Linked DNA regions of Canis lupus familiaris. The protein of the gene in region 1 purifies or fractionates together with the protein of each later gene. This does not show direct contact. Links are inferred from orthologs where the notes say so. Each region holds a gene or a part of one and is shown on either strand. Other genes may lie near its edges. The genes, in order: EYA2 and ACAD9.

Region 1 (16,279 bases):
GTGATCCTTGCCTACCACTCTGCTTCCCAGGTGACCACTAATACACTTTCTCTCAAGAAAAATTAATTTGCTTTTTCTAGAGTATTAAAGAAATGGAATCACACAGTATATATGCTTTTTTTTTGGTCTGGCTTCTTTCAACCAGAATAACTGTTTTGAGATTCAATCCATGTGGTTACGTATATGGACAGTTCATTCCTTTGTGTTGTTGAGTACTATTCTATTGTGTGGATTTACCACGCCCTGTCTGTTCACTTGTGGATGGACATTCGGGTTGATTCTAGTTTTGGGATGGAATAAAGCTGCCATGAATGTTCACACATCAATCTTGGTATGACTATAAGCTTTCTTTTTACCAGTGTAATTATGAGGTCGTGTGGTGAGTCTATGTTTGACTTTTTAAGAAACTGCTAAGTTGTTTTCAAAAGTGGTTGTGCCATTTCACATTCCCACCAGTGGGGTAAGAGAGTTCTAGTTGCTCGACATCCTTGCCTACCTTTGATATGGTCAGTTTTCACGATTACAGCCATTCTAAGGGGTACACATTATGGATTTAATTTGTACTTCTCTAATGACAAATGATCAGCATCTTAATTATGTACTTTTTTTTTTTTTTTGCCATCCTTGTATCTTTTTTTGTATCTGCTCAAATTTTGCCCATTTCATTACTGAGTTGTTTGTTTCCTTAGTCTTGGGTTTTGAGAATTCCTCCTATATTACATAATATGTGATGGTGAATCTTGTGTGTCAAGCTGATGGGCTGGTAAAACATTATTTTTGGGTGTGTCTATGAGGGTGTCTCCAGAAGAGATTGGCATTTGAATCAATAGACTCAGTAGAGATCTGCCCTCACTAATGTGCAGGAGAGCATCACCGATTTCACTGAGGGCCCAAATAGAACAAAAAGGCAGAGGAAGTGCAAGTTACCTTTCTTCTTGAGCTGAGATGTCCATCTTTTCCTGCCTTAGACATTGGAGTTCTTGGTTCCTAGGCCTTCTGACGCAGACTGAATTGCTCTACTAGCTTTCCTGGCTCTCTGGCTTGCAGGAGGCAGGTCACGGGACTTGCTGATTTGAGCTATTTTTTTGTAATAAATCTCTATCTCTCTATCTCTGGTTTCTTTGGAGCACTCTAATACAACATACTTTATCAGATACATGCTTTGTAATTATTTGCCCCCCAGACTTCTCTTCCCATTCTCCTCACAGTATCCTTCAAAGAGTGAAAGTTGTAAATTTTTATGAAGCCAATTTATAGAATTTATTTTCTTTTTGGGTCATGTTTTTGGTGTCATATATGAGAATTCTTTGCCTAGCCCAAAGTCACAAAGATTTTCTCCTGTTTTCTATACACGTTTTATGATTTTATGTTTAGGTCTATGATCTATTCTTTGTTAATTTTTTTATGTCATGTGAGTTATGGGCTGAAGTACAGTTTTTCCAAATATAGATATCCAGTCGTCAAGAATCTTTTGTTGAGAAGACTATCCTTTCTCCACTGAATTGTCTTGAAACTTTATAAAAAAAATCATTTGTCCATATCTATGTGTGTTTATTTCTGCATGCTCTATTCTGGTACATTGATCTACTTGTCTATCTTTATGTGATACCATATTATCATGATTACTGTGGCCCTATAGTATTTTTTTTTAAGATTTTACTTATTTATTTGAGAGAGAGAGAAAGAGAGAGAGAATAAAAGAGAAAGCACAAGCGGGGGGTGAGGGGGCGCAGAGACAGAGGGAGAAGCAGGCACCCTTCTCAGCAGGGAGCCCAACTTGATCCCAGGATCCAGGGATCATGACCTGAGCAGAAGTCAGACACTTAATCAACTGACCCACCCAGGTGCCCCTGTAATAAGTGTTAAAATCAGGTAGTGTTAGCTTTGCAACTTTGTTTTTCTGTATCAGAGCCATTGAGGCTATTCTAGATCCTTTGTATTCTTTGAAGTTCAGAATTAGCTTGCTAATCTCTACAGAGAAGAGTCAGATATTGACAGAGATTGTGTTAAATACATAGATCAATTTGTGAAGAGCTGACATCTCAGTAATATTAAGTCTTCTGAGCTGTGAGTAAGGTATATCTTTCCATTCACTAAAGTCTTCACCTAGGGTGGCTCAGTGGTTGAGCATCTGCCTTTGGCTCAGGGCATGATCCTGGGGTCCTGGGATTGAGTCCTGCATCAGGCTCCCCACAGGGAGCCTGCCTCTCCCTCTGCCTGTGTCTCTGCCTCTCTCTCTGTGTCTCTTATGAAAAAATAAATCAAATCTTAAAAAAATTAAGTCTTCACTTCTTTCGGTAGTGTTTCATAGTTTTAAGTGTACAACTCTTGCACATGTTTTGTCAGATTTATCCCAAAGCATTTAATATTTTTTGATGGTACCGTAAATGAGATTTAAAACTATCCCATTTCTGGGTGCCTGGATGGTGTGGTCATTTAAGCACCTGAATCTTGGTTTCAGCTCAGGTTGTGATCTTGGGGTCTTGAAATCAAGCCCCACCTCTGGGTCTGTGCTTAGCACAGAGTTTGCTTAAATTTTTCTTTCCCTCTGCCTTTTCTGACTGTACTCTCTCCCTCTCAAATAAATCTTTTTTTTAAAAAACTATCCTATTTCCTATTGCTTATTGTTACTATATTAAAATACAATTGATTTTTATACATTCACTTAGTACTCTGCAACATTGCTAAGCTCACTTTTTAGTTTCAGCATTTTAATAAATTCTATCTAATTTTCTACATAGGTGATCATGTCATTTTACTTCTTTTCCCATGTGGAGGCTTTAAATTATTTTTCTTGCCTTACTGTACTGGCTAGAATCTCCAATACAATGGTGAATAGAATTGGTAAGAGTATACATCTTTGTCTTGCTTCTGATCTTGGGGAGTAGCTGTAGGTTTTTTGAAGCTATCCTATTTTAGTCAGCTTGGGCTGCTATGACAAAAATGTCACAGACTGGGTGGCTTAAATAACAAAGATTTATTTTCCACATTTCTGGAGTCTGGGAAGTCCAAGATCAAGGCATTGGCCAATTTTATTGCTAGTCAGAGTCTTCCTCCTGGTTTTCAGATGGATGCCTTCTTGCTATATGCAGACACAGTAGAGAGAGAGATATATTAACTCTGATATGTCTCTTCTTATAATTGCACTAACCCCATTTATGAGGGCTCCACCGTCATTACCTAATTACTTCCCAAAGACTCCACCTCCAAATACCAACACATTGGGGATTAGGACTTCAACATGTGAATCTGGAGGAGGACACAAACATTCAGTCTATAACATGTCTTTTTCTAATAAAGAAAGTTCCCTTCTATTCCTAATTTGGAATTTTTATCAGGGACAGATGATAAATCTTGTCAAATATTTTCTATGCATCTATTTAGATGAACTTTTCCTTCCCTTTCCAGTTAGTTAATATGGCAAATAACATTGATTTTCAAATTTTAAACCACCTTTGCTTCCTGGGGATAAATCACACTTGGTCATTATATATTATTCTTCTTTCATATATTGTTGGACTTGATTTGTTAACATTTTGTTTAGAAGTGTTTTATCTATGTTGATGAGGGATATTGGTCTATAGTTTTCTTTTCTTTTTTTAAAAAATATTTTTATTTAGTTAGTTGAGAGAGAGGGGACTAGCATGAGTGGGGGTAGGGACAGAGGTGAGGGAGAAGCAGACTCCCCACTGAGCAGGGAGCCTGATGTAGGGCTCATCCCAGGATCCTGTGATCATGATCTGAGCCAAAGGCATACACCTTTTTTTAAAAAAAGATTTTATTTATTCATGAAACACAGAGAGAGAGGCAGAGACATAGGCAGAGGCAGAAGCAGGCTCTCTGTAGGTAGCCTGATGCAGGACTCGATTCCTGAGCCCTGGGATCATGACCTGAGCTGAAGGCAGATGTTCAACTACTGAGCCACCCAGGTGTCCCCAAAGGCAGACACTTAACTGACGGAGCCACTCAGGTGCCCCTGGTTTCCTTTTCTTATAATGCCTTTGTCTAGTTTTGGCATCAGGGTCATGCTGGCTTCATAGAATGAGTTGGGAAGTATTCTTTCCTCTTCAATTTTCTTCAAAATTTTGTGTAGGATTGATAGTTCTTAACTTAAATGTTTGGTAGTCTTAATCAGCGAGGCCATCAGGGCCTGGTGATTTCTTTGAAGGAAGATTTCTGACAAAAAATTCAATTTATTTAATAGATATAGGCCTATTAAAGCTATAGATCTATTTAGGTTGGCATGATGTTTGTAAAATTGCATCATTATCTCTTTAATATCTGTAGTATCTGTAGTGATGTCATCACTTTCATTCTATTGGTAATTTACATCTTTTCTCTTTTTCCTGTATCAGCCTATCTAGAGTTTTATCAGTTTTATTTATCTTCTCAAAGAATCAGCTTTTGGTTTCACTGATTTTCTCTCTTTTTTTCTGTTTTCAGATTTCATTGATTTGCATTTTGGTCTTTATTGTTCCCTTTCTTCTTCTTACTTTGAGTGTATTTTGCTCCTCTTTTTCTAGTTTCTAAAGCAGAATAGGAGGTGTTTGGCTTGAAATTTCTCCTCTTTTCTAACATAGACACTTGTGCTATAAATTTCCTCTTATGTACTGCTTTAGTGATGTTCTACGAATTTTGACATGTTATGTTTCATTTTCATTAAGTTCAAAATACTTTAAAATTTTCTTGTTTTTTTTTCTTTGACTCATGGGGTATTAGTCAGGGTTCTCCCAAGAAACAGAACCAACAGGATGCATGTAAATATATATATAAGAGGAGGTTTATTATAGGAATTGGCTCATGCAGTTAGAGGTCAGGAAGTCCCACAATCTGCTTTTTGCAAGCTGGAAAACCAGGAAATCTGGTGATATAATTCAGTCTGAGGCTGAAGGCCTGAGAACTTGGGGTAGGGGAAGTCTGGAGGGTTCGGGCCCCACTGGTACAAGTCCTGGAATCCAAAGGCCTGAGAATCAGGAGCTCTAATGTCTGTCCAATTATCTTTTTAGATAATCTGCATCATACTGAAAAGTCTGAAAAGAAAAAAGCCCTTAAGGAACCACTACTAATTTGTTTTTTTCTCTTGAGTGAAGTATGTTCAGATTTTGTCCTCTACTTCAGCAAATTGCCCTGCAATCATCTGTAAATTGCTGGAACTTTGTATGTTAATGCATATCAATGCAGACTGGGCAGAGGGCTGGGGTGAAGAGCATCAGGATACTGTAACCAGGCAATGCAGAGTATGAGCATGATCTATCGGTAATATATAAACCTCTTGAGGCTCTGGAATTTGGAACCAACCACTCAAGGAGATCCTGGATAATTTCAAAAGTAGAGTTTTTATGGGAAATTTTGAGAGAGAGAGAGAGAGAGTGTGTGTGTGTGTGCGTGCGCTTGCGCACATGTGCACACATGCATGCTTACATGCCCTTCCTTTATAACAGACACCGGGGAAAAGAGTCAAGAGACCTCAGTTACAGCTGACAACTATTTATGTCATTAGATTTTATGTGAGCTTGTTAGACACACAGTAAAAACCATCTCAACCACTTATTGTTGAACCTTAGACCAAGCGATAAATGAAGAACAGGGGGAAACAATAAAGAAACGTTTCAAAGAGATACAATGAACCTTTATGTTTGCTCTTGATGGGGAACAAAGATAACCTTCCTAAATACCCCAAATTCTTAGGAAGTAAGTCTTTGGAATCCAGTTCCAAATTATACATAGACAGTGGCAACTACTTCAGGATTTCCTGCTTATATCTCCTTTCTGCAACCAAGTGGAGCAGCCACACTCTGAAAAGCAGGATGGTCAAAGATAATTTAGAATTATGACAAAGAAAAGTTTGTTAAATTTCACACCCTTCAAAGAAAGCAATTTGGAAGTTGTTACCTAGATACTACGCATTCATTGAGTATTGCAATGAAATCACAATGACCAAAATCAATGCTCAAGCCCTAAACTTCCTTAAAAATTGACTTAAAAAGGACAACTGGGTGGCTCAGTATGTTAAGCATCTGACTCCTGATCTCAGCTCAAGTCTTGATATCAGGGTCATGAATTCAAGCCCTGCACTGGGCTCCGCTCTCGACACGGAGCTTTCTTAAACAAACAAACAAACAAACAAACAAGCCCACCATGGACTTAAAAATGCCTGGCCATGTTGTCTCCGTTTGTCACCAAACCAAGGATAATTAACTTGTCCCAGTGATGGAAAATTTAAAGGCTAAAAGCAACAGCTGTACCAAGAACCTCAGGAACAAAAGAAGTTAGTTTCCGCTACTGTTCTTTTTCTAACCATTAGCCAGTATTTATTGAATCAATGTCCATACACTCTCATGTTAGCTTAACTTCTACAAGCCCCAGTTTTTCAGAACCCACTGAAAAGAAAAGAGAAAAAAATGCAATGGTATCTCCTTTACATTGGGCATTCTAAATCATTGCTGTCATGTCAATTAATGATAATATATCTAAACCATGTCATAAAAGAGAAGCCATGTGCATAGCAGATCTTTGGAAGGAATGAATGAATTCATAGGCTGGTGAGTTAGTTGCATAGGGATGTACATCACCCAGGGGCCAGGACGTGGGCTCCCCCACATGTTACTCTTTTTTTTTTAAGATTTTATTTATTTACTTGAGAGAGAGAGAGAGAGAGAGAGAACAAAAACGGAGCAGGTCAAAAAGAGATAGAGAAGCAGACTCCCCACTGAGCAGGGAGCCTGACTTGAGGCTTTCAACCCAGGACCCTGGGATGATGACGTGAGCTGAAGGCAGATGGTCAACCAACTGAGCCACCCAGGCACCCCACCACATGTTACTCTTTAATTTAGGTGGGTGCCATTGGTTGTGGATACCTGTACTTTGGCCCATCATCTCTTCTGTCTTCCCCTGGGTAGTGTGCTCTGGGTTTTTTTTTTTGGAAACCACCTCTCCCTCTCCCTCATATGGTCTGGGTGGAGATGACCCAACTCTAGCTCTCGCTGTGGTCATAAGACCCAGGTCTGTTGCCCCATCTCAGCATTCCAACCACTGCCACAGAGACTGGTGTGAGGACAGGTATGTGACCTAAGCTGGGCCAACAGAAGTGTTACCTGGGACCTCTGCAGGGGCTGTTTGGAAGGAGGAACTCTCTCTGAGGGGTAGATAGGAAGGCAGAACTGAATCCTGAAGTGGCTGGTGACCATCTTTGCCACCATAATGGGAGAGCCTGCTTGAGAGTGAAATGGACACAGGAAAATGCAGAGCCAGAGGAAGAAAGAGACTAAGTCCAAAAATTATCATCTGAACCCCTGGACCCAGCCTTGAATTACTATATATCTTGATTGCATATGTTTAAAATTTCCTTTTTTGGGGAGGGTTCTGGATGGCTCAATTGGTTGAGTGTCTGACTCTTGGTCTCAGCTCAGGTCATGATCTCAAGGTGGTGAGATCAAACTCTGTGTTGGGCTCCACTCAGCAGGAAGACTGCTTGAGATTTTCTCTCCCTCTACCCTTCCTCCCACTCATGTGCATGCTCTTTCTCTCTAAAATAAATAAATCTAAAAAAAAAAAAACATTTTTTTTTTGCTTAACTAGTTTGAATTGTATCTTCTATCTTTCGAAGCCAAAAAATCCTGGCCAATAAAAGGAATTCCTAAAGCTGTTCTGCTATGGAAAAATACATGTGTGAGGATTTTTTAAAAAGATTCAATTCTTGATGAGAGAACCAAGGTTTGATGGCCACTGACCTTCTGTTCTCAAATGGGTTTTAGATAAATAATCTCAGCTATTTGTGGCTACTGAATATCCAGGAGCCCTGGTTATGGAGCCCAAGAGGCCTGGGTTCAAATCCCAATTCCACCAATTACTACCAAGTTACTTATCCTCCGATCTTCATTGTTCTTACCTGGAAAAAAGGGGGTAACTGAAAACCAGATTTTGTGAGGATTGTGACTTTCCTTATCATAGTTTGAAATTCTGTATTTATGTGATTATTTGATTCCTGTCTGTAAGAATCAAGTCTATGTTGCACTTTATTTCCTGCTTGGAAAACAGCAGGTGCTTTAAAATTTTTGTTGAATCAATATATAAATAAGTGAAATGAGAAGACCACATAGATAAGTGCTTGGCACATCGCAGATGGGTAGCAAATATTAGTTTCCCTTCTTTGAGGACTGGGGCTCATCAATCCCAGGGCACACAAGCGCCAGGCAGGTAATGAACCTGAAGTATGTTGGCCAGATATGGAATCGTGTGTGCCTTGTCTGAATGGGGCACATATTACTCAGCCAGCCAAGGGTTGTCACTTATGAATGTAGACCTAAGTGACCAGGTTCAGATTTTCTTTCAAGAGAAGACCAGATCTATTTTCAAGAGAACGCAGAAATTAGAATTTTTTTTTGAAATTAGAATTTTTAGGTAAAAATTTTAAACATGGGGGCACCTGGGTGGCTCAGTGGTTGGGAGTCTGCCTTTGGCTTAGGTCGTGATCCCAGGGTCCTGGGACTGAGTCCCATATCAGTCTTCTGATTCTTCTTCTCCCTCTGCCTATGTCTCTGCTTTTCTCTCTGTGTCTCTCTTGGATAAATAAATAAAATATATTTTTTAAAGACTTTATTTATTTATTCATGAGAGACACACACACAGAGAGAGAGAGAGAGAGAGGCAGAGACACAGGCAGAGGGAGAAGCAGGCTCCATGCAGGGAGCCTGATGCGGGACTCGATCCTGGAACTCCAGGATCATGCCCTGGGCTGAAGGCAGGCACTAAACTGCTGAGCCACCCAGGGATCTCCTAAATAAATAAAATCTTTAAAAAACATTTTAAACATGGGCACAATTAAAGGCGCACACACATACACGGAAAGGCCAACAAAACATATTTGAGGGCTGGATTTAGCTCTTGGGTAACCAGTTCATTACAACTGGGACCTCTGTCCAGTCCATCCTTCCTACAAGAGCTCAGGTCTCAGCCACCAATAACCACGAGACAGTGACCATACTTACCGCCAAGCAACTCAGAACTCTGGTTGGGGACACTGTGAGATGCCTCCTGGAGGACGTAGGTGGATGTGGAGAGGGGAGACGGGCAGATGCTGCTGGCTGGGACGTAAGGAGGGCTGTAGGATGAGCTGTAATACTGGGAATACTGGCTCTGAGGGAAGCCGGGGTAGGAAGTATAGTCCTAGAAAGGGAGACACACAAGGCGCTGAGTGAGGAAGGCTGTCTGGGTGGGGGCTGTCCTGCAGCCCAGTCATAGGCTGACGATGGCAGAGGGTCTTGTGAGGTGGGTCTGCTGTCTATCTCCATCTCTCTCACTAGAATAAAGCTCCATCAGGGATAGGGACTCTCCCCACATGCAGATCCCAAGACAAGGATGCAAGTGCAAGTATTCGGGAGGTGAAGGAGACACCAGGTGGGGGATGGGGAAGTGAGACTGCAAAGGGAAGAAGCAAGAGCAGCCAATCTGAGGGCTTCTAAGTGGGGACTGGAGGGAATTCCCCGGGGAAACACTGGGATGGTATAAAACATACCCTCAGAATGATGTCTCCTAGTGGCAAGGGAGCTGGGGTTGTTCATATACCAACTCCAGCCAGTCTTTGATTGAGAGCTGCTCCCTGGGCTCTTCATTCCCTGGCACTTGCCTCCTGCCCTATGCTCTGATTCTAGGGAAAACCCTCAGCCCGGGGATACAGAGGTTGCAATCTGGAAGTCAGGGGATGTGGCTGTCAATGTCTGTTTTGATCGCTATTGTATCCCTAGCATCTGAAATCGTGCTGGACACAGAGGGGAACCCAACAAATACTAGAGAGGGGCACCTGGGTGGCTCAGTGGTTGAGCGTCTGCCTTTGGCTCAGGTCATGATTGTGGGGTCCTGGGATCGAGTCCTGCATCAGTCTCCCTGCAAGGAGCCTGCCTCTTCCTCTGCCTGTTTCTTTGCCTCTCTCTGTGTCTCTTATGAATAAATAAATAAAATCTTATAAAAAATAAATACTAGATAAATCAACGAACCAATGAATGAGTGATAGAGACCTCATACGCACAGACCCAGGAGACTAGGTGACATATTAAGTTCATGAGGGGTACAAGTACAGCAGCACCTACACAGCACTAGAGATCCAGAATCTTCTATGGGGAAATCTCAGAGATCAAATCAAGGAATGCCAATCCCTTTTTTTTTTTTTAATCAAGCTTTGCTTAAACCAGCCACATACTCCAGCTGTCCCATGATAGTCATTGTTCCAAATACTCTGTCCCACCATCATCATAAACCAGTGCTTCTCAACCCTGCAAGGACTCACAGAATTTCAGCTTCCTGGTCACTGCCCCGGCCCTAGAGAACTATAATTTCTGGGGGTGGCATTTAGGGAAATCTCTGCTTTTGACAAGCTCCTATTGGTGAAATGGGCAGAGCGAGGAACCACACCTTAAAAGGAACTGCTGTATTTACGAGTATTTTATCCAGGTCCACAGTATACTGGAAATTATACGGAAATACAGAAACAATCTTCCAAGATTTAAATCACTTAGATTCTTTAGCTCACTGAAGAAGAAACAGTGAATTCCTCATATTTAAATGTGTTAAATACGCCACCCACTCTGTGGTAGTTTTGTTTTAATGTTAGCCTGAAAGCATGTTCACCTTTTGTTCTGAAATAATTTTAGACTTCATAGAAGAGGTGCACAAATAGGACAGAGTTCCCATGCTCTCATTCTTAATTTGCTCTCTAAGTGAAAGCAAGACAATCAAACCATCTTTACAGGGTTGACCTGGTGTCATTTAACAAGCATTTATAAAGCCCCCGCTGTGTGCTGGGCCCTCGGCACTGGAATGCAGAGGTGAAGATGATGGATTCTCATGCTTGAGAAGGTCACGGCTGGTGAGCGAGCACACGCATTTGCATTCATACATTCTAGATTCAACAGTCAATGGGTGTCTTGGGCTCAGGTCAAGACATAATCTGTGATATCGCCTATGTCACCTTGGAAACCCGCCAGTAATTTCAATTTCTCTGCCTCTACACTGTTTCTTTCTGATGGCCTTTTGCACAGTCGGACTCCTATGGTCTCTAAACCCAGGGAATAAGAGACAGCATTTCTGCGGGGGGTGTGGGCGGGAGTGGGCTCTCAGGGTGTCCTGATTTAGGGAAAGAACAGGGAAAACAGGTGATGGGGGAGTGACACCTACCTGGTGCACACTTCCGAATCCGGCTGCGTTGGTCAGGCCATTTGCTCCTTGGTAGATCCCTGCTGTGCCTGCAGGAAGGAGGGACAGGTACAGATGAGGTTTCTTACAGTCGGAGAGGGATGAGGAGGAGAAAGATTCGGCAGACAGGTGGGCTCTGAGGACTGACAGGCTGGAACAGGAGGCAACCTGAGACCCTGGCAAGCTGCCAAATCTCTCTGAGCCTCAGTTCTGTCAATTGATGAATGAAATAAGTAACTCCTTCATCAAAGGATTGTGCTGAGCAATAAATGAGACAGTGCATACAATACAGGTTCTGGTTCTCAATGATCATGTTTAAAAAATATTTATTTAAAACATTGTGGTAAATGTACATGACATAAAACTTTACCATTTTAACTATTTCTAAGTGTACAGTATAGTGGCATTTGGTATATTCACATTGTTCTGCAACCTTCACCGCCGTCCATGCCCAGAGTTTTTTTCATCTTGAAAAACTAAGGTCGTGTCCCCATTAAATGATACCTCCCCATTCCTCCCCTTCCTCCACCCCCAGCACCCACCCTTCTCCTGTCTTTATGATCCTACTACTCTAGGATCCTTGAATAACTGGAATCATGTAGCATCTGACTTTTGGGACTAGCTTATTTTATTTAGCATCATGTCTCCAAGGTTCGTCCATGTTGTGGCACGTGCCGGAATTTCCTTCCTTTTTAAAGCTGAGTGACATTCCATTGTACTGTATACCATATTTTGTTTATAATTCTTCTGTTGGTGGGCACTTGGATTGCTTCCATTTTTTGGCTGCCGTGAATAATGCTATGAACATGTGGGTACAAATGCCTCTTTTGGGAGAAGCCTCGAACACTGTTACTAGGAATGCAAGCTGGTGCAGCCACTCTGGAAAACAGTATGAAGGTGCTTCAAAAAGTTGATAATAGAGCTACCCTATGACCCAGTAAGTGTGCTACTGGGTATTTACCCCAAAAATACAAATGTAGTGATCCCAAGGAGCACCTGCACCCCAATGTTTATGGCAGCGATATATATATATATATTACTCAGCCATCAAAAAATGAAATCTTGCCATTTGTAATGACATCGATGGAACTAAGTGAAATAAGTCAATCAGAGAAAGATAATTATCATATGATTTCACTCATATGTGGAATTTAAGAAACAAAACAGAGGATAGTAGGGGAAGAGAGGGAAAATAGAAGAAGACGAAATCAGAGAGGGAGACAGACCATAAGGGACTCTTTACCATAGAAAACACACTGAGGGTTCCTGGAGGGGAGGAGGGGGGGATGGGGTAACTGGGTGATGGACATTAAGGAGGGCATGGAATGTAATGAGCACTGGGTGTTAGATAAGACTGATGAATCACAGGCCTCTACCTCTGAAACCAATAATCCATAATATGTTAATTAATTGAATGCAGATTAAAAAAGAACAATTATAAAAATCCCCAAAACTCCACAATGCCTCTTTCAGATCCTGATTTCAATTTTTTTTAGGTTTACACCCAGAAGCAGAATTACTAGATCATAGGAAAATTTGCTTTTTAATTTTTTGAGGAACTACCATACTGTCGTCCATAGTGGTTCCATCATTTTACATTCCCTTGAACACAGCACAGGGTTCCAAATTCTCCACATGCTCATCAACCCACTCACTCACTCTTCCTTCCTTCCTTCTTTCCTTCCTCTTTCTCTCTCTTCCTTTTCTCCTTTTTCTTTCTCTCTCTCTTCCTTTCTTTTTTTGAACGTAGCTATTCTAAGGGGTGCATGGTGGTAAATAAATAAACCAAATGGTAGTAAGCTGAATAAATGCACAAAAGGACTTTTGCTCCTGAACATCAGTTGCCCCATCTATAAAATGGCAATAAAAATGATACTTCTATTACTACTAGAAAACGCTATTTAGTGAATGAATAAGTAAGTGGTGAATGGGGTGTCATTTAAAACAAGGTGGTCGGGACACCTGGGTGGCTCAGCAGTTGAGTGCCTGCCTTTGGCCCAGGGCGTGATCCTAGAGTCCCCGGATCGAGTCCCACATTGGGCTCCCTGCATGGAGCCTGCTTCTCTCTGCCTGTGTCTCTGCCTCTCTCTGGATCTCTCATGAATGAATAAATAAATAAATAAAATCTTAAAAAAAAATACGACAAGGTGGTCAGGCAAGGCCTCTCTGAGAGGACACTGGAGCCAAGACATGCCAGCGTTGGACACAGCCTGGGGGACGAGTGTTCACGAACACTGGGTGCAACAAATCCTAACACAGAGATTCGCTTGGCAGGTAAGAGAAAGAGAGGAAAGTCCAGTGAGGCAGGAGCCCAGAAGGGGAAGAGGGTGGCTACAGGAATGACAATGGTGAACTTGCGTGTGTCGGGTGCTATTCTGAGCTTTTCCTGGACAAAGTGAGGCACAGAAAATTTAAGTGACGTGCCCAAGGCAGCACAGAGAGTGGGTGACAGCTGTTGGGGCTGGCCCTAGACAGTCTGACTTGAGTTTTCCATACCCCTCTATGCTGCTATTGCTGATGCTTTTTCAAACTGCTTTTCTGGGGGGATATAGCTTATATACTATAAAATTCCTCTCTGGGGCAGCTGGATGAGTTTTAAAGTAATTGATACAACTGTGCACCTGTTACCACAATGCAGTTTTAGAACATTTCCATCATCCCCAAAATTCCCTTACGCCCCTCTGCCATCAACCCCCATCTCCAGCATCAGGTAGCCACAGATCTACTGCTGATTCTAGAGTTTTGCCTTTTCTAGACGTTTCTGAGCGGTGTGAATGCACCACATCCAGTTGGGACTATTCCAGATAAAGAGTTGCATATAGTTGTATGCAGTAAACATTTGCATACGAGTCCTTGTGTGGATATATGTTTTCATTCCCCACGGGCAGATCCCAAGGCGTAGGACTGTGGAATAGTGTGACAAGAGTATGTTTTACTTTTTTTGTTTTTGTTTTTGAGTATGTTTTACTTTTTAAAGAGATGGTCAAAGGGTCTTCCAAAGTGGCTGTGTCATTTCACATACCTACTAACAGTGTGAGACTTCTGATTTCTTTAGCACTTGGTAATTTCAGTCTTTTTGATCATAGCCACTCTAGTAGGTGTAGAGTAGTACTATTTCCTTGTGGTTTTAGGCATTTGTCCAATGACTAATCATGTTGGGAATCTTTTCATGTGCTTATCAGCCATTTATGTATCTTTTTAGAAAAAGACCTATTCAAGTCTTTAGCCCATTAAACAAGAAAGTTAGGTATGTCTTCTTAAAACTTAGTTGTAAGAGTTCCTTATATATTCCGGACACAAGTCCTTTATCTGATACCAATATGCAAATATTACCTCCAAGTCTATAGCTTATCTTTTCATTTTCTTAATGGTGTCTTTTGAAGAGCAGAACCTTTTTTAAAAAAATCAAAATCCTCCTTACGGATCTTGCTTTTACTGCTTCACCCAAGGTCAGATTATTTCCTATGTTTTCATCCAGAAATTTCATAGTTTTAGCTCTAGGATCAAATGTAAGTTAATTTTGCGTGTATGGTGTGAGGTAAGGGTCTAGATGAATCTTTTGCATATGAATATCTAGTTGTTCCAGCACCACTATAGAAAGTTTATCCTTTGCCTCACTGAATTACTTGGTACCTTTGCCAGAAATTAATTGATGATTAATGTGAAATCTTCTTTCTGGACTCTGTTCCACTGATATATCTGGAATATATCTATATACCATTTCCATCCTGACCTGATTACTGCAGCTTTATTGTAAGTTCTGAAATCAGGTAGCATGAGTTCTCCAATTTTGTTCTTCTTTTTCAAGATTGTTTTGGCTTCTATGTATAAACTTGGTATTTACATTTCAACTTTAGAATAAGCTTGTTGATTTCTGTTGGCCACAAGGAAGAGGCACGACATTTTTCAACCCAGAATCCTACATCCAGAGAAAATATCCTTCAGGAATGAAGGGAAAATGAAGACACTCTCAAATGAAGGAAAACTAAGAAAATCTGTCACAGCAAACTCTGAAAAGATGGGGACAGGAAGTTCTTGAAACAGAGTTTAAAGAAGACTCCCGGAACATCAGAAAAGAAGAAAAAAAAAGAAAAAAGTAAAAATATGGGTAAATAAAGTCTCTCTGTATAGTAATGCCAATCAACTCAATATGCTGTTAGGTTTATAAAAGTTTGCTATCAAATTTTAGGAATTTTTTCAAATGTGTTTTATAATTATATAAACTATTTAAATGGCTCCAGAGTCAAATCTACAGAATAAACTATACCCATATCCAGGGGTAAGAAGGATATGTGCTGGGCACTGGGAAGGGTTCTGTAATGCCCGCTGGGGAGAGGTGGGGCCAAGGAAGGCTTCCTGGAAGAAGTGAAACCTAAAGTAATCTCTGAAGAATGAGTTAGAGCCAGCCAGGTGAAGAGAAGAACCAGGAACATAGCCACACCTGGGCGTCCTCTCTTGTTCTCTCCCTTACATGGAGTCTTGTCCAAGGACCAGAAACCATGGAATTTGTCCATAATCATGTGGCACACTGAGATCCCATTCTGTCCTCAATGGCCTGTCCAGACAGGTCCACAGAAGGTCCAGGCTAGCCTCTCCATTGCAAATAATTTTTTTGGGTCATGGTTACCATGGTGACTCTACCCGCTAAAGCTTAGGAACACACCTGCCCTAGGAAGACTCCTGCCTGCAGTGTTTTCTGTTCTGATTTCTCTTTTCTTTTGTGTCAACCTTCTGAATGACAACTTAGGGCAGGTTTGAAAACAAATAGGCCACAGTCTCTTCTCTAGGTATTCTTTCTCCCAAACAGCCTCTTGTTTGTTTTTGTTTTGTGACCCAGGGGCATCTGAAGAATGGACAGCTGAACAAACTGCAGTGTGCCGAGGGCAGTCCCAGAGCCCCTGCAGGGAGAAATCCATCCCATGCCTTAGAGGACCCCCAGAGAATGGGGGAGTGTGGCCCCAGAAATCTTGTGCCACAATATGTGGTCTCTGGAGGGCTTTCCAAATGGACCACCGTGAGCTGGAATGTTAAACACCGAGTTCTTGCCTCCATCTGGCTGGTGGAGTGCCCACGGGAGGGTGGGGGAAGGCAA
Region 2 (15,333 bases), on another chromosome or scaffold:
TGTGATTCTTTTTGCCTAATTTATATTCTTGCTTTAATTTCAACACTTTTTGTCTAAAGCAGTTTTTAAGGGATTTACTTTTTTAAGCAATTTCTATACCCAATGTGGGGCTTAAACTCAGAGTTGCATGTTCTACTAAGTGCCGCTAAAGCAGTTTTTATAGACAGCATACTGTTAGGTTAAAAAAATCCAATTTGAGATTAATTAATTGGCAAACAATCCACTTACTGAAAATATTGTTAGATTAGGCTTTTGAGGGACCACCTCCTTTTCTTTTAAATTCCTCCTATTCTGCTTTCTTTTGGTAGACCACGTTTTTTTTGTTGTTTTTTTTTTCTGATTTAAAAGTTTACATTCTTTGTTTCTAAGGTGGTTGTCCTGAAGACTACATTCATTTTTAGATATTCCTACTGAATTCTGAGACTTTTTATATTGCATTTCCTTTAAAAGACAAATAGCACACATATGCCCCTTTTTGTCTTTTCCTACTCCCACTCTACCATCCCTTTTATAGATCCAGTCTCCAGAATTTCAGTTCTAGGTTACTACACTTTCCTTGTAGTTTCCTTGTAGACAAGAAAACTATTAGGATACCGACACCATCACTTGCTACCTTTGTCCAAACACTCTTGGGTTTTCATCCTCCCTTTTGTATTTTTTCCCAAGTGTGTTTTCAAAGGAAAGTGTCTGGGTAAGCTTCCCAAGCCTCTGTGTGGGACGTGTGCCCCTGACACACTGCCATCAGTGGACTGGCAGTCTGCCTGGGTGTCCAGTCTTGGGTCGAAGCTCTTCACCTTGTCTATGGTATGGTTGCTGCGGAATCAGAGGCCAGTGTGGCACTTCTCCCGTCACAGGGGGGGGCTGCTCTTTTTCTGGAGGTTTTCAGGATTTGTCTCTGCCTTTGTGGTCTTACATGTCGCAGATAGTGTGCCCGGGCTTGGAATTCTACTTAAAATGTCCTACTCCTGCTTTCCCTGTCCTTTTGGGGCTTGTTATTTGGATATTTTCATTTTGGTTCCCAGTCTTTAAACTCAGGCTAATTTTATCTCAAGCTGGTTTCCAGTTTACTGATTTGTTCTCCATCTGCTCCACTTCCGCAGGGTGTCTCGCTCACTTGCGCCCTTTATTTATGTAAATAAGTATTATGTAAATATTTGTTTTATTATGTAAAACTCTAATGTTTTACACTCAATATTTGTTTCTTTAGTCTTTTAAGAATGATTACATTTGCCTTAAATTTCTACCCCATCCCTTCCAATAGCTTGGCTTCAGTTCTGTTTGTGTCTGGGGTCTTTTGTAACTGGTTCTATGTCTCAGGCACCTAGTTACTTTGGCTGTCAGTCCAGAGTTCCCTGCAGCCTTCAGCCCCAGGGCAGAGAACCCCAGATGTCCTGAACAACTGTTGACCACTGTTCTCACCTCACCATGTGATGTCTTTTGGGCAGAACTTCCACTTTTTTCCCAAGGCTGTAATCCACTAGTAAGGTTTAGAAGGAGCAGGGAACTTGCACTTTTGTGAAGGAGACTGACTCATTCCGACCAACCCTCCCACTGAGAACCACCAGAAAAACTGGAGAGAATACCCAGTGCTCTGATTGAAGCTAGGTGTGCACCACTTGGACGTCAGTCGCGCTTAGATGGCCCCTCTGGCACAGTCATCTTGAAGGTGCTCAAAGACAGGTGTTTTGTCCCTCATGCAATGAATGTGACCAGCCTTTGTCTTAAGTCCCTGTTGCTTCAAGCCATGGGGATCTTGTTGCCTTGATTTTTCACACTTTTGTGTGAATCACAGATTTAACTTTCCCTTGATTATTTTGCATTCTCTCTTACAGAAATCCCTCAGACTCCAAAGCCAAGACACTGGGGCTTGGCCTAAATAAGTGGTTAATGTGAGTCAAGGTCACTATCTTCAGCTTTAAAAATTTTTGTTTTGGGCAGCCCAGGTGGCCAGGGCGTGATCCTGGGGACCTGGGATCGAGTCCCACGTTGGGCTCCCTGCATGGAGCCTGTTCTCCCTCTGCTTGTGTCTCTGCCTCTCTGTGTCTCTCATGTATAAATAAATAAAATCTTTAAAAAAAATAAAACTTTTTGTTTCAAAACAGAAGATGGTGATTTTGCTGAAAGTTAATAGACAAGTGGTGGGCAAGCTACACCGCAATAGAGTGCAACTTTCTTTTCGGGGTCCCAGCCACTTCTCCCTGCAACACCGCAGCTTTCATCCACAAAGAAGCTAGCTGTCAGACCATCTTGGGGGCTCTGGAGAGAAGGTTGACACTCCCTATGTAGTCAGCACTTAAAGGTGACCATGGGCAAGGATGGTAGTCCTTGCTGCTTTAGGTCATAATCTACCCTGTATATGCATGAAAGCTTCAAGCTTCTCCCACTTCTGACCACCTGAGCCTCAAATTCTATCTGTGGCTGGCTCTTGTGTTCCAGTTACTTTAACCTTAGGCAAATCGCATCATGGTCCTGAGTTCCACCATGGACAGCGAGGGGTTAGAGCAGGTGGCCCTCTGGTAGCGTTCTGTGATTGAATGGCAGCTCTAGTATTCAGGACTTGGTATGTGCGCTGTGGCCTGGTCCCACAGATCATCTTGCTCACTACACGCTGGAAGCTGGTATTGAGGGGACTATAATGATTGGTGTCTCTTTCCACAGAAAAATATTACTAGAGCCTACCAGGTTAGTAAGAAGCCTCCAAAATCTGTGGTGAAGGTGATCAGAATTTCAGCCCCTACCAAAGATGCGGTTTATAACTACAGTATCCAGTCCCTGAATTCCACAGAGCTTGCTAAGAAGGAGCTGTATCGAGAGATGGCCAAGGTGAATGGGAGGCCCAGAGAGGGAGGCGGGCCGTCAATGCTTGTAACTCCAGACAGAAAAATAGTAATTGGCTAATCCAGTGAGCTCTCTCCTTTTTTGACTATACTGCCTAGAGATCAGCAAGGGATCTCTGGTGTGCATAAGAAAGCCAACCAATGGGAGGAAATAGACAGGCATCAGGTGCTGGGGGAGACATGTTCTGTTCCCGCACTATGTAGGGATCCTCCACACATAAGGGTGAGCCAACAGATCCTCAACATATGCTCATGTGTGCCTGGCTGCAAACCCCCTTAGAAAGCATTCTGTTGTCACCATGAAGGAAAAGCCCTGGCTTAGGCTTCCAACATGGTAGCTTTAGAAAAGGGTTGCTCTGTCAAAGAGAATGTGAACGTGACCCTCACAGTTGTTATTCTGAATGGTCCTTTACATTGTCAGGAACGGTGCCACCATTTCTAATGCTTGCCTGGAGATGGGAGGGCTAGTCAGCCCCTTCCACATCTGCTACCAGCCCTTCTATCCTCGTGTCTGCCCCTTGTTTCCAGGAGCCAAGGAAGAGATTCACATACTCCCAGAATTACCTCTCAGCCATGGTGGAGCCTCAGGACTCAGAGGAAGAGGAGAAGAAAGCCAGGAAGAAATCCCGCCAGGCCTGGCTCACAGCCAATGGATTCCAACTGACTGGTCTTCACAGAACCACTGAATGCGACCATCACCTCAGGCTGCCGCCCATTGGCACTGATCCAGAGCTGAATGAGGTCCACAGGGTGGAGAGGGGCCTCCAGTGGGGTGTCTACAGGGCCCTCCATCCTAACTTACTGTGTTGTTCTCGACGTAGGAGCGGAGGGAAAATGCACAGCCTGCTAGTGTGCTGGATCGAGAGAGGTGGAGCTGGGACCAGCGCCACCAGGACTTTGACCTGTATAAGCAGCCACCACTTTTCCTTGAGCTGCCCCGTCCTCCAGCACCTAAGCCTGTAACAGGTAAGACCTCTGCAAGGCTCAGCCTCCTGATGTGGGCAGTCAGGACCTCTGCTGCTTTGCATCTTTGGCAGTACCCTTTTTGTTTTAGCTGTCCTAACTTTCTAAGCTAGGAAGTCCAGAGTCAGAATGGGTCTGGCATTAATGTGCTAGGCTGGAACTCAAGAGCCCTGGATTCTAGCTCCAGCTGTGATACTAATTCGCTGTGGGTGATGTTGGACAAGTCCCTTCACTGTTCCTGGTCCCTGCTCCGTACCAGCTTATCTTATAGTATGCACGAGTTTGGAGATGGGCAGTGGGAGAGGAAGAGAATCCTCAAGTAGACTCCTTGCTGAGTGAGGAGCATAACCTGCAGGGCTTGATCCTAAGACCCTGAGATCCTGACCTAAGCCAAAAATCAAGAGCTGGCTGCTTAACCAATTGAGCCACTTAGGTGGCCCCGCTAGGCCCGGTTTCTTAGCTATCAAACTTGTAAGTTGGGAGACAGGTCTAAGGGCTGTCTGCACCCCAACACGCATTACCCAGGTCTAGATGCCCGGCCAGCAGCTGGGGGCAGAGGCTCTGGCCACCTCTGGGACCTTCTGACTCCATTCCTGCTCCAAGATGTTGCCATCTCCCACTGTGTGTGGGAAGGAGGGAGTTTAGAAGCATGAGTCCCTCTCATCCTTCTGTTTATAAAGATGGGCCTCCAGATCATTTGTACGTTCTCAGAGAACCAAAATCTGTTGGTTGCCAGAACCTTGGTTCAGGGAGAAAGTTTACCTAGTGACAAGGTTTGCCAGAGAAACCTTTCTCAGAAAGCTAGACCAGATAAACAAAATGGATTTCTTTCCTTCTCTAACCCTCGAAGGCAGCTGGTAACTGCTCCATGAAACAAGAGGAAGTGCCAACAAGCTGCTGAAATTTGTCTCCCTTCTGTCTGGCCCCTGCTGCCTTCCCTTCAGAACAAGCTCCAGGCTCTGGGGCTGCGTGGTCAGTCCTGTTGGTACAGACCAGACCAGCAATGCCAGGCTTACCTCCTTGGCCCGACTGCTGCCACTGAACTCCACTGCAGGCCTTCCCAGCACACATTCCCTGGGCACAGATGCACACTGAGGCCTCTCCTCCCCACCATGTTTAAAGAAAACTTGGAAATGGTAGGGGGGAAAGGGAGATTTGAACCAGGGGTCCCAGCCTTTGAAACTCAGCCGAGTGAAGACAGAACCAGCCGCCGACAGGGGCGTCCATACTGCAGGGACTACAGTGAAGCCCCCTTTCCTGAATGGAGGTCCCGGGGGCACGGGGTCTGGACAGCTGCTTCCCAAGCTTCCCTGGCAAAGACCTTCTGTGCAGCCTCTGGTCGCTGGCATTGAACCAGATTAGTACTCCCCTTGCCAACAAAACACCCGAAGACCTTTAAGGTTTCACTGGTAACTTAGCTCCAGTGCCGTAAGATTTGTCAAGTTTTACCTTTTGAAGATTAGTTATCCAATCCCTGGCAGAGGGCTCAGGCCAGCCCAGTGTTTGCATAGCAGACTGACTTGTACTTGAAAAGAAAGGAGGGACGCCTGGGTGGCTCAGCAGTTGGGCACCTGCCTTCGGCCCAGGTCGTGATCCTGGGATCCAGGATCGAGTCCCGCATCAGGCTCCCTGCATGGAGCCTGCTTCTCCCTCTGTCTATGTCTCTGCCTCTCTCTCTGTGTCTCTCATGAATAAATAAATCTTAAAAAAAAAAAAAAAAAAAAAAAAGAAAGGAAAGAGGAGCCTTGTCTTCTCTTCCCACCTCAGGGTGACATCTGTAGTGTGGTTTTCTGGAGCCCCAAACCACCTAGAACCAGAAGAAACCTCAAAGCTTGCCAGTGTGAGCATGCTGTGACCCAGTGTGGGGAAACAGCAGCAGAAAGGAGCCTAGACTAATGCAAAGGTCTAGTCATGCCTTAAGATTCCTTTTTGCCCCCCTCTTCAGGAGTAGAGGCCAACCTCTCTACAGACAGCAGAGAGAAAGGCCCCAGGCAGGAAAAAACATGTGTTATCATGTATCAGACCATAAAAAAGACCAGAGACAGGGCCTTAAAAATCCCTAGGGTACTGTGGTCTGGGCTGGGCACCCACCCCTCACCATCACCAAAGGGGGAAACTCGGCTCTGAGGAAAAACATGCTCAGTATACAGCGTGAGGGCTAAAAGGGTAAAGCATTTTATATTTGTTGTCAGATGGTTCCCAGTACACAGGTTAAGTGCATTTGTTCTATGAACACAGCTGGTCTTGCAGAAGTAGCTATCCATGCCTGCAACAGGTCCCCACCAACCTCCTGACGCAAAGGCAGCAGCACAAGCCCGTTGCCACTGTATGTCTCCTAAACTAGCAGAAGCCCCTCAGCTCCCAGGTGTCACCAACTGCATTCTCTCTCCTGTCTCTTCAGCACCTGGGATCAGGTCAAGTGGCAGTGCCAGCAGGGCAAAGCCTAAAGAAGCTCCGCCCCCAGGCCAGGAGAAAGTCCTTCTGGTCTATACTGGGAAAAAACATTTCCACTTGTAAAAATTCCAAGTGCTCCACCTCCCGGAGAAAGAGCTGACCAGCGATGGGTTGTGGCCTCGGGGCAGTAGGGAACACTGTCCATTTGCTTCAGGACGTCCTGTCCAGAGGGTGGGCACAGATGTAGGCTTGCTTTTCTAGGACCTGCTGGGACACTTTCTTAATCTGCTCATCTAGATTTTCTGGAGAATCTGAAAGCAAAAAATATTAATAGGTTTGTGAGAAAAGAAATACTGCTGGGGTGTGGCTTTTTTTTTTTTTTTTTTTTAAATAAACAAAGTAGCCCACCCACTGTGAAGGAGCCCTGAAGCTAACTTTCCTCCTCCAAACCCTCAGGAAGTGTGATTCTGGCTGTAGGGAAAAAGAGGGATGGGGCTTCATCCTGAAAAACAAAGGGCTCATCTTGTTGATCCCTCAGAACTCTGGATCTTGTGGGAACAGGGGCTGGAGAAGGATCCTCTGCCAGTCAAGCCTTTACAAGAGAAACCATGTCTCCCACCACAGAATGGAACACAGATGCCAGCACCCAGAGCCAGAAGCTGCACACAATCATGTACTCCTCTTCTCAGCAGGTGCCATGATGGCCTCTCCTCCATCTCTTGGCAACAGGGCTGGGCTCTACAGCAGGGGACACAGAACATGGAGCCTTGAGGCTGAAATGACTGTAAGGGTCAGAGGAATCTGAGCCAGGTCCTCTCAGACATAGCCATGTGGCTACGGTAGAGGAGCATTCTAGACAAACAGCCCTATGTGCCAAGCCCCTGCACAGGGTAGGGCCAAAGCCTGAGACACCTGCTAGAAGGGCAGGTTTATTTTAGCTGGAGTGCAGGGGGTAAAGAGGCAGATAAAATGCTTCCCTTCTTTGTGGAACATCACTGGGTGGCTGCTAGGTGGCCAGGCATGCTGGGCCACACCCTGGGAGGCTCTGACAGTCTTCACCTGCAGGTATATGCTCCTAGCTGGCAGGCCCTGCTGCAGGTGAACCTGACCTTAGCAGCCCTCACTCAAGGGAGAGGTTTGTGAGTAGCCAGCAGACCCTGGGAGCCTGGCCATCAACAGTCACCTGGACTCAGGCCCACCTTCCCTCCCAAGGCCACCCTACTTACATTTGTCCAGCTGGGACAGGGTGAAGAGATTCTGGTAATAAGCTTCTGCACAGAAGATGTTGGCCAGCAGAACCTGTCAGAACCAAGATTGAAGAGGATGACATAGGGCATCCCTTCCCTGGTGTGTGTGTTTCAAGAACTCAGCCAAACTAAGCAGCTTGGCTCGGGTCAAAAGGCCTGGCTTGGGGGTCAGTCTTAGGTTCTAATTCCAGCTCTGACCCAAATAGCTCTGTCCCCAAGAGCAAATTACTCAACACCTCTGGGCCTCAGTCTCCTCTATGGCAGGAAGGCCATCATAATGCTAGTGCCCAGAGGCTACTGAGGGACAATAAAGACCCAGCACACAGCAGGTGCTTAGTGACTGCATCTGGCCCCTCAGGCAGGGTAAGGAAGGCAGATGCGGTGAAGGCACAAGGTTTGGGACCCCATCACTTACTCTTTTTTCCTCAGATAGAAAAACAAAAGGGAGTGGCCCCATGTCCTGAGCAGCACAGATCTTCGCATTGGAGCTGACCACCGGTACTGGCCACAGCTCAGCAAACTTGCCAGCCTCCTGGGACCACCACTGGACCAAAGCCCTGACTTGCCCAGTCCCTTGCTCCTGACTGAGCGTTGCCATCCACTGACCCCCTTCCCCAACCACAGGCCTCATTAAAGTGCAGAGGATAAAGCTGGCAAGGGCTTATTACCTCATGGTCGTGGTTTCGAAGCCCCACTCGGATGGAACGGCTGGCCCGCGACAGCACGGCTGTCATGCCATACAGGTTGATAAGGATGTTGGCTACCCGCTTCAGGACCATCTGCTCCTCCACGATGGTCTGCCAACACAGAGCCCAGGGTGGAGACATGCAACCCAGGAACCTCCCTCCCCGGGCCCATCTTCAGCCATCTCCAAGACTCACTTCATGCCTCAGTAGAAGGGGGTTAACACTGCCTCTCCCTTTGGGTTGTGGGAGGCTGGCTCACTGGCCGCCTTGTTTTCCCTTCTATCTAGATTTGGGCATGGATCAGGCCAAGACCAGGTCCCAGAAACCTGGCTGAGACCACATGCTGCTGGTTACTGTGCTTCATGTCAGCCTGAGCAGCAGCAGCCTCACAGATCAGGGCCCTAGATTTGGGCTCCCCTCCCTACTCCAAGGACATCTACCCAAGTGCCCCCTGGGACAGAGAGCCCCACCCATCCATGGTGACCAAGCTTTCTTTCTAGGCTTGGTCCCAAAGATAAAATGCCCCATTCTCCCTGGCTCCCAAGCTGGAGGGCCTGCCATCCCCAGATCTGGCAGGGGCCCAGGTACCTTGCCAAAGCGGAGAAGCAACGTCTCCACGGTGCGGCCAAAGTAATACACATTCTCCTCGAGCTTGTTGGCGCTGTCCTAGTATGCCAGAGGAGAGACTGCTTGGTGCCACTCCCCACGGTACCCATCTCACCCAGCCCAGGGCTCTGGGGCCCAGGCTCTGCCCACCAGGCTGGGCCATCCTCCCAGATGCCCTGGTCACAGCCCTCTGGACGAGGATACCCACCAGGAGGGCACCCACATGGGGGGTATGCCAGGTGTGCCCACTCACTGCGACACTGGGGTGCACAGCTCCCAGCTTCCCTGTCAACCCCAGGTCCACGGTTCGGCTCAGGGAGTCTCGAAGCCTCTGGCTGACAGTCTCGATGACAGTGGTCACATTGCCCCGTTTAAGCTCACTGCAGAAAGCCCACAGCCCCGTGAACTCAGGCCTCACTGCTGGTTCCCACTGTTGAGCAATAGGGTCCCCCTTGGCACCCCAGAGCTACAGGTACCTGGTTCCCTCTGGTGATCCAAGACAATAAAGGGACAACTCAGGCCCTACATGCTGCTCTACCCTAGCCTGGGCCTGCTGGATGCCTGAGACCTCCCAGCCAGTCTCTGAGGCAGAGCACACAGAGCCTCTCTACAAGAAGCAGTCACAACTAGCCCCCAGGTGGTGCTCTGGGGTAAAGGAGTCTGCAAGATGCTCTCAGCAACTCACACCAGACTCCAGCAGTGATTTCTAGTTGTTCTAGCCCCATGATGGGGGTTAAGAGGAGCAAGAGAAAGAGTGAAGAAAGTGGTCTCATGTTAGTCTGGGAGCCCAGTGCCTGTCTGAGGGATAGCTCTCAATCCCTAGGCTCTGAAAACAAAGCTCCCTGCAGCATGGGAGATAGAAACTGCCAGGGGAGGAGGGCAATGAGGGCTTCCTGAGGCAGCTGGCACCTCCTATCACTTGTAGGTGAAGGCCAAGCTCTGCAGTCTGGCTTTCAGGGCTCCTGTCCCCTTCTTTCCCTCTAGCCAGCCTATGACTGAGCTGAGCACTGCACGGCTCCATGACCCCCATTCTGATGTCTATCCCAGGATGGGGCCCGAGGAGCAGACAGTGGGGCTGGCACCTACTTGATCCTTGTGGTCAGGATGCGGCCAGCATGCTGCAGACCTGTCAGGGCAATGTACATCCGGAGAATCTCGTTGGTTCCCTGTGGCCAGGAGTATGGAGGTTAAAGTTGGCTCCACTAGGATGGCGCTGGTTTGTGCTGTGCGTGTAACTGGGTAGGCCACCCCACTGCCCGCTTGCCAGTGCCACGGAGGCTGCCGCTTTGGAAGTAGCCTCGCAAGGGAGCAGGGCTGTGACCTGAGGGTGAGGGCAACACGCTAGCCCCACCTTCACAGGGATGAGCAGGTTGCCGACCAGACAACCGGGGACTCCCTCAGGATCTACCACCTTTCTAGGACCAAACATAACGGAGTCACTTTTTCCAAGCCTCCAATTTGGTTTCTTTATAATTAATGGGAGAAACTCCTTTCCCTGAGGGGAGGGATGCCGATGCCCAGGACGCAGCAAGTGCTCCCAGGTTCCTCAGGGGAGCCACTGATCTCTAAGGACGAGAGCTGGCTGCCCCCAGTACGGGGTATCAGTACCCAGAGGGCCACCTCTTCCCTGCTGCTGTGCACACTGTTCCCCTCCCAATCTCCTTGGGATTATTTCAGGGAGGTGGGCCATGGGTCACAAAGCCAGTACTGGACACTGAGCCCTGCAGCCAGCCTGGCCACGGACAGGAAGACACCCCTGGGAGGACTGCAAGTCAAGGTGTGCCCAGTCCTGCATAGTCTCCAGATGGGACCATCTGCCTCACTCTGAGGACTCTGCAGCCCTCAAAGCTGCTGCCCCATCTAGTCACATAGGAGCAAATTCAACCAGGTCAAGGGGAAGGGGCCTTGGAAGCAGCAGTCCTGGGGGCAGCCCTTGGGAAAGTGCCCCTGGACCCTCAGGCTGGCCACATCCTGTCTGTCCTCCAAGGAAGGAGACCATAGGGCTGGCATGTGGGGGGCATGGCGAGAACTAGCAGCTATGAGGCCTTTCCCTGGGTTGGGGAGCCTGGGAGCCGGGCATCCAAAAGCGCCCTTGAGAAACCACACAGGATGCTCAGGCTCCAAGTCTCATCTCTGGGCTTGCCTCCTGCACACCCTACAGCCATCCTAATTCCATCCCTCTCTCTGCACGGCCCTCTCTCCTACTGTGTGCACCTGGCCTCTGGTCTCACATCTGCAACTCCCACGTCAGCCCCAGGGAAATTCCCAGAATGGGAATGCATTCAAGTCCTTTCCTACTCAGAAACCTCTAATGAAAAAAAAAAAAAAAGAAACCTCTAATGGCCTCCAGTGCCTGCACAGTAAGATCCAAACTCTTCTGCCTACTGGCCAAGGGCCCCCCGAGCCTAGCTACTTGGCTCCCCTTCTCATCTACCCTCTGCCCCCACCCCACCAACTTTTCTACCACCTGCCCCAGCTCCGCCCCTACCAGGACCATCCACTGCTCCCACAAAGATATGCTTATCCTACTCAGTGCATGCCCTATCTGGGGGTAGCATGTTCCATCTCCCTATCCTTGGCTCAAACCACCTTCCCCTTGGCCAGGCCAAAGTCATTTCTGTCCTCAAAGGCCAAGTGCACTGGCTTCCTGAGACACTAGCCCACTGAGGGAGAGATGCAGCTCAGGCCCTCCCTGCACTGGTGTTCCGTAGTCTACCCTGGTCAGTCAGGCCACGAGCTCCTCATCCCCCTTTGTTATCCCACCTGGGGTCTCCCCACTCACAGAATTCCCTCTTTTGGCTTGTGAGCCCATGGAGGGGGCAGCAATTAGGGAGGTGTCAGGGCTGGGAAAGTCCATGGAGAGGACCCTGCTGAGGTGCCTGTACTCTGGGGAGGAAAGGCAAACCCAGAGTGAGCCCTGGAGGCACAACTGGGCCTCCCGTGAGATCTCTGTTTGTCCCACCACAGACAACTGAAGGGACAGGCTCAGCAAAAAGGGCGCTCGCTTGGCCCCTCAGCCTCACCTCCACCCCTGGAGAATGGGGCCACGCAGAGGCATGAGGAGGGACAAATGAGACTACTTGGGGGGGGGGGTGTGGGGGTTGGCAGGGCGGCGGGCACTCACCTCGAAGATGAGCAGGATGCGGCTGTCACGTAGCAAGCGCTCATATGGGTAATCCCTCATGTAGCCTGAGCCCCCGAGGACCTGCAGTGCCTCACTCACGCACTGCCAGGCACCCTCCGAGCTGAACACCTGCCATGGAGCCAGGACACGGTAAGCACAGGGGTGACAGGGCCAAGTCCCTTCCACGAGGGGGAGGGGGCCTCAGCCAGGGCAGAGTGGCTGGGGATGGAACAGGCAGCTTGACATGGAGAACCTGGCTCTAGGATAAGACCAGCCCAGCCAGTCTCACTGGGTGGCCTCGGACAAGTCCTTTTCTCTCTGGACCTAACTGACCAGCTGTGGCTCCCCACCCACCGTGACTCCTCCTATCTCTGAGGCTTCCCTGGGATGCAAGATCCCACTCCACACCTTCTACACTGAGGAAACTCCTGTCCTTTTGAAACCCACTTCAGATTCCCTCTCCAGGAGGCCTGACCCTGTCCACCTAGCCCCGTTCACCTGCAGCTTGCTTCTCCACATGTAAGTGAGCTGCTTGGCCCAACATGTGCCTGCAGGTGACACATAAAAGTGGAAAGCTGGAGGGAGGGGCAAGATGGCGGAAGAGCAGGGTCTCCAAATCACCTGTCTCCACCAAATTACCTAGAAAACCTTCAAATTATCCTGAAAATCTATGAATTTGGCCTAAGAATTAAAGAGAGAACACCTGGAATGCTAGAGTGAGAAGAGTTTGCGCTTCTATCAAGGTAGGAAGACGGGAAAAAAGAAATAAAGAAACAAAGGCCTCCAAGGGGGAGAGGCCCCGCGAGGAGCCGGGCTGAGACCGGGGCGAGTGTCCCCAGGACAGGAGAGCCCCGTCCCGGAGAAGCAGGAGCTACACCGACCTTCCCGGGCGGAAAGGGTATCGCGGGGAGTTGGAGCAGGACCCAGAAGGGCGAGGATGCCCTCGGCTTCCCTGGGACAGTAACAGAGCAACTGCGCACCCAGGAGAGTGCGCCGAGCTCCCTAAGGGCTGCAGCGCGCATGGTGGGACCCGGCGGGACCCGGAGCAGCGCGGAGGGGCTCGGGCGGCGGCTCCGCGGAGGGGGCTGCGCGGCCCCAGGAGCAGCTCGGAGGGGCTCGGGCAGAGGAAGAGGCTCCGTGCGGAGGGGGCTGCGCGGTTCCAGGAGCAGCTGGGGGGGCTCGGGCGGCAGCTCCGCAGAGGGGGCTGTGCGGCCCGGGAGCGCGAATCCAACAGCGCAGGCCCTGGAGCACAGGGCGCCGGGACACAGCCCAGGATCCGGCCTCCCCCGGGACAGGCAGAGGCCGGGAGGGCCCAGGACCGCAAGGACGCTCCTGGCCCGAGCTGAGCAGAGCAGCGGCCCCGCCCCGGAGCCTCCAGGCCCTGCAGACGGAGAGCTCTGGAGTTCTTGCCGGAGCTGAATCCAAGGCTGCAGAGCTGGCCCCGCCACTAGGGCTGTTGCTCCTGGGGCCTCACGGGGTAAACAACCCCCCACTGAGCCCTGCACCAGGCAGGGGCACAGCAGCTCCCCCAACTGCTAACACCTGAAAATCAGCACAACAGGCCCCTCCCCCAGAAGACCAGCTAGACAGACAACTTCCAGGAGAAGCCAAGGGACTTAAAGTACACAGAATCAGAAGATACTCCCCCGTGGTTCTTTTTTTGTTTTGTTTTGTTTTGCTTTTTGATTTCTTTCCTTCCCCCACCCCCCTTTTTTCTCCTTTCTTTCTTTTTCTTTCTCTTTTTCTTCTTTTTTTTTCGTTTTTTTCTTCCTTTTTTTTCTCTTTCTCTTTTCTTTCCTTCTTTCTGTCCTCTCTTTTTCTCCTTTTCCCAATAAAACTTGCTTTTGGCCACTCTGCACTGAGCAAAATGACTAGAAGGAAAACCTCACCTCAAAAGAAAGAATCAGAAACAGTCCTCTCTCCCACAGAGTTACAAAATCTGGATTACAATTCACTGTCAGAAAGCCAATTCAGAAGCACTATTATACAGCTACTGGTGGCTCTAGAAAAAAGCATAAAGGACTCAAGAGACTTCATGACTGCAGAATTTAGATCTCATCAGGCAGAAATTAAAAATCAATTGAATGAGATGCAATCCAAACTAGAAGTCCTAACGACCAGGGTTAACGAGGTGGAAGAACGAGTGAGTGACATAGAAGACAAGTTGATAGCAAAGAGGGAAACTGAGGAAAAAAGAGACAAACAATTAAAAGACCATGAAGATAGATTAAGGGAAATAAACGACAGCCTGAGGAAGAAAAACTTACGTTTAATTGGTGTTCCCGAGGGCGCCAAAAGGGCCAGAGGGCCAGAATATGTATTTGAACAAATTCTAGCTGAAAACTTTCCTAATCTGGGAAGGGAAACAGGCATTCAGATCCAGGAAATAGAGAGATCCCCCCCTAAAATCAATAAAAACCGTTCAACACCTCGACATTTAATAGTGAAGCTTGCAAATTCCAAAGATAAAGAGAAGATCCTTAAAGCAGCAAGAGACAAGAAATCCCTGACTTTTATGGGGAGGAGTAATAGGGTAACAGCAGACCTCTCCACAGAGACCTGGCAGGCCAGAAAGGGCTGGCAGGATATATTCAGGGTCCTAAATGAGAAGAACATGCAACCAAGAATACTTTATCCAGCAAGGCTCTCATTCAAAATGGAAGGAGAGATAAAGAGCTTCCAAGACAGGCAGGAACTGAAAGAATATGTGACCTCCAAACAGCTCTGCAAGAAATTTTAAGGGGAACTCTTAAAATTCCCCTTTAAGAAGAAGTTCAGTGGAACATTCCACAAAAACAAGGACTGAATAGATATCATGATGACACTAAACTCATATCTCTCAATAGTAACTCTGAATGTGAACGGGCTTAATGACCCCATCAAAAGGCGCAGGGTTTCAGACTGGATAAAAAAGCAGGACCCATCTATTTGCTGTCTACAAGAGACTCATTTTAGATAGAAGGACACCTACAGCCTGAAAATAAAAGGTTGGAGAACCATTTACCATTCGAATGGTCCTCAAAAGAAAGCAGGGGTAGCCATCCTTATATCAGATAAACTAAAATTTACCCCGAAGACTGTAGTGAGAGATGAAGAGGGACACTATATCATACTTAAAGGATCTTTTCAACAAGAGGACTTAACAATCCTCAATATATATGCCCCGAATGTGGGAGCTGCCAAATATATAAATCAATTATTAACCAAAGTGAAGAAATACTTAGATAATAATACACTTATAGTTGGTGACTTCAATCTAGCTCTTTCTATACTCGATAGGTCTTCTAAGCACAACATCTCCAAAGAAACGAGAGCTTTAAATGATACACTGGACCAGATGGATTTCACAAATATCTACAGAACTTTACGTCCAAACTCAACTGAATACACATTCTTCTCAAGCGCACATGGAACTTTCTCCAGAATAGACCACATATTGGGTCACAAATTGGGTCTGAACCGATACCAAAAGATTG

Evidence for each region.
Region 2: the proteins of EYA2 (region 1) and ACAD9 purify together in Homo sapiens (affinity purification with mass spectrometry; 3 studies listed by BioGRID and IntAct, with this or other methods). This does not show direct contact. The link is inferred for Canis lupus familiaris from reciprocal best matches to the Homo sapiens genes EYA2 and ACAD9.

What each region holds. Positions count from the first base shown.
Region 1 is NC_049245.1:34,825,143-34,841,421, reverse strand, and holds part of EYA2 (eyes absent homolog 2), read right to left. Parts: intron 11,238-16,279; coding exon 11,170-11,237; intron 9,166-11,169; coding exon 8,988-9,165; intron 1-8,987. UniProt on the Homo sapiens protein: Functions both as protein phosphatase and as transcriptional coactivator for SIX1, and probably also for SIX2, SIX4 and SIX5.
Region 2 is NC_049241.1:3,177,489-3,192,821, forward strand, and holds the end of ACAD9 (complex I assembly factor ACAD9, mitochondrial), read right to left. Parts: intron 11,987-15,333; coding exon 11,858-11,986; intron 9,900-11,857; coding exon 9,820-9,899; intron 9,114-9,819; coding exon 8,987-9,113; intron 8,794-8,986; coding exon 8,716-8,793; intron 8,239-8,715; coding exon 8,110-8,238; intron 8,096-8,109; exon of another isoform or gene 7,934-8,095; coding exon of another isoform or gene 7,871-7,933; intron 7,853-7,870; exon of another isoform or gene 7,494-7,852; coding exon 7,421-7,493; exon of another isoform or gene 6,966-7,420; coding exon of another isoform or gene 6,733-6,965; intron 6,506-6,732; coding exon 6,405-6,505; 3' UTR 5,953-6,404; downstream 1-5,952. Other genes in the region: CFAP92 (uncharacterized protein KIAA1257 homolog), read left to right, coding at 2,659-2,823, 3,366-3,578, 3,659-3,803, 6,733-6,965. UniProt on the Homo sapiens protein: As part of the MCIA complex, primarily participates in the assembly of the mitochondrial complex I and therefore plays a role in oxidative phosphorylation.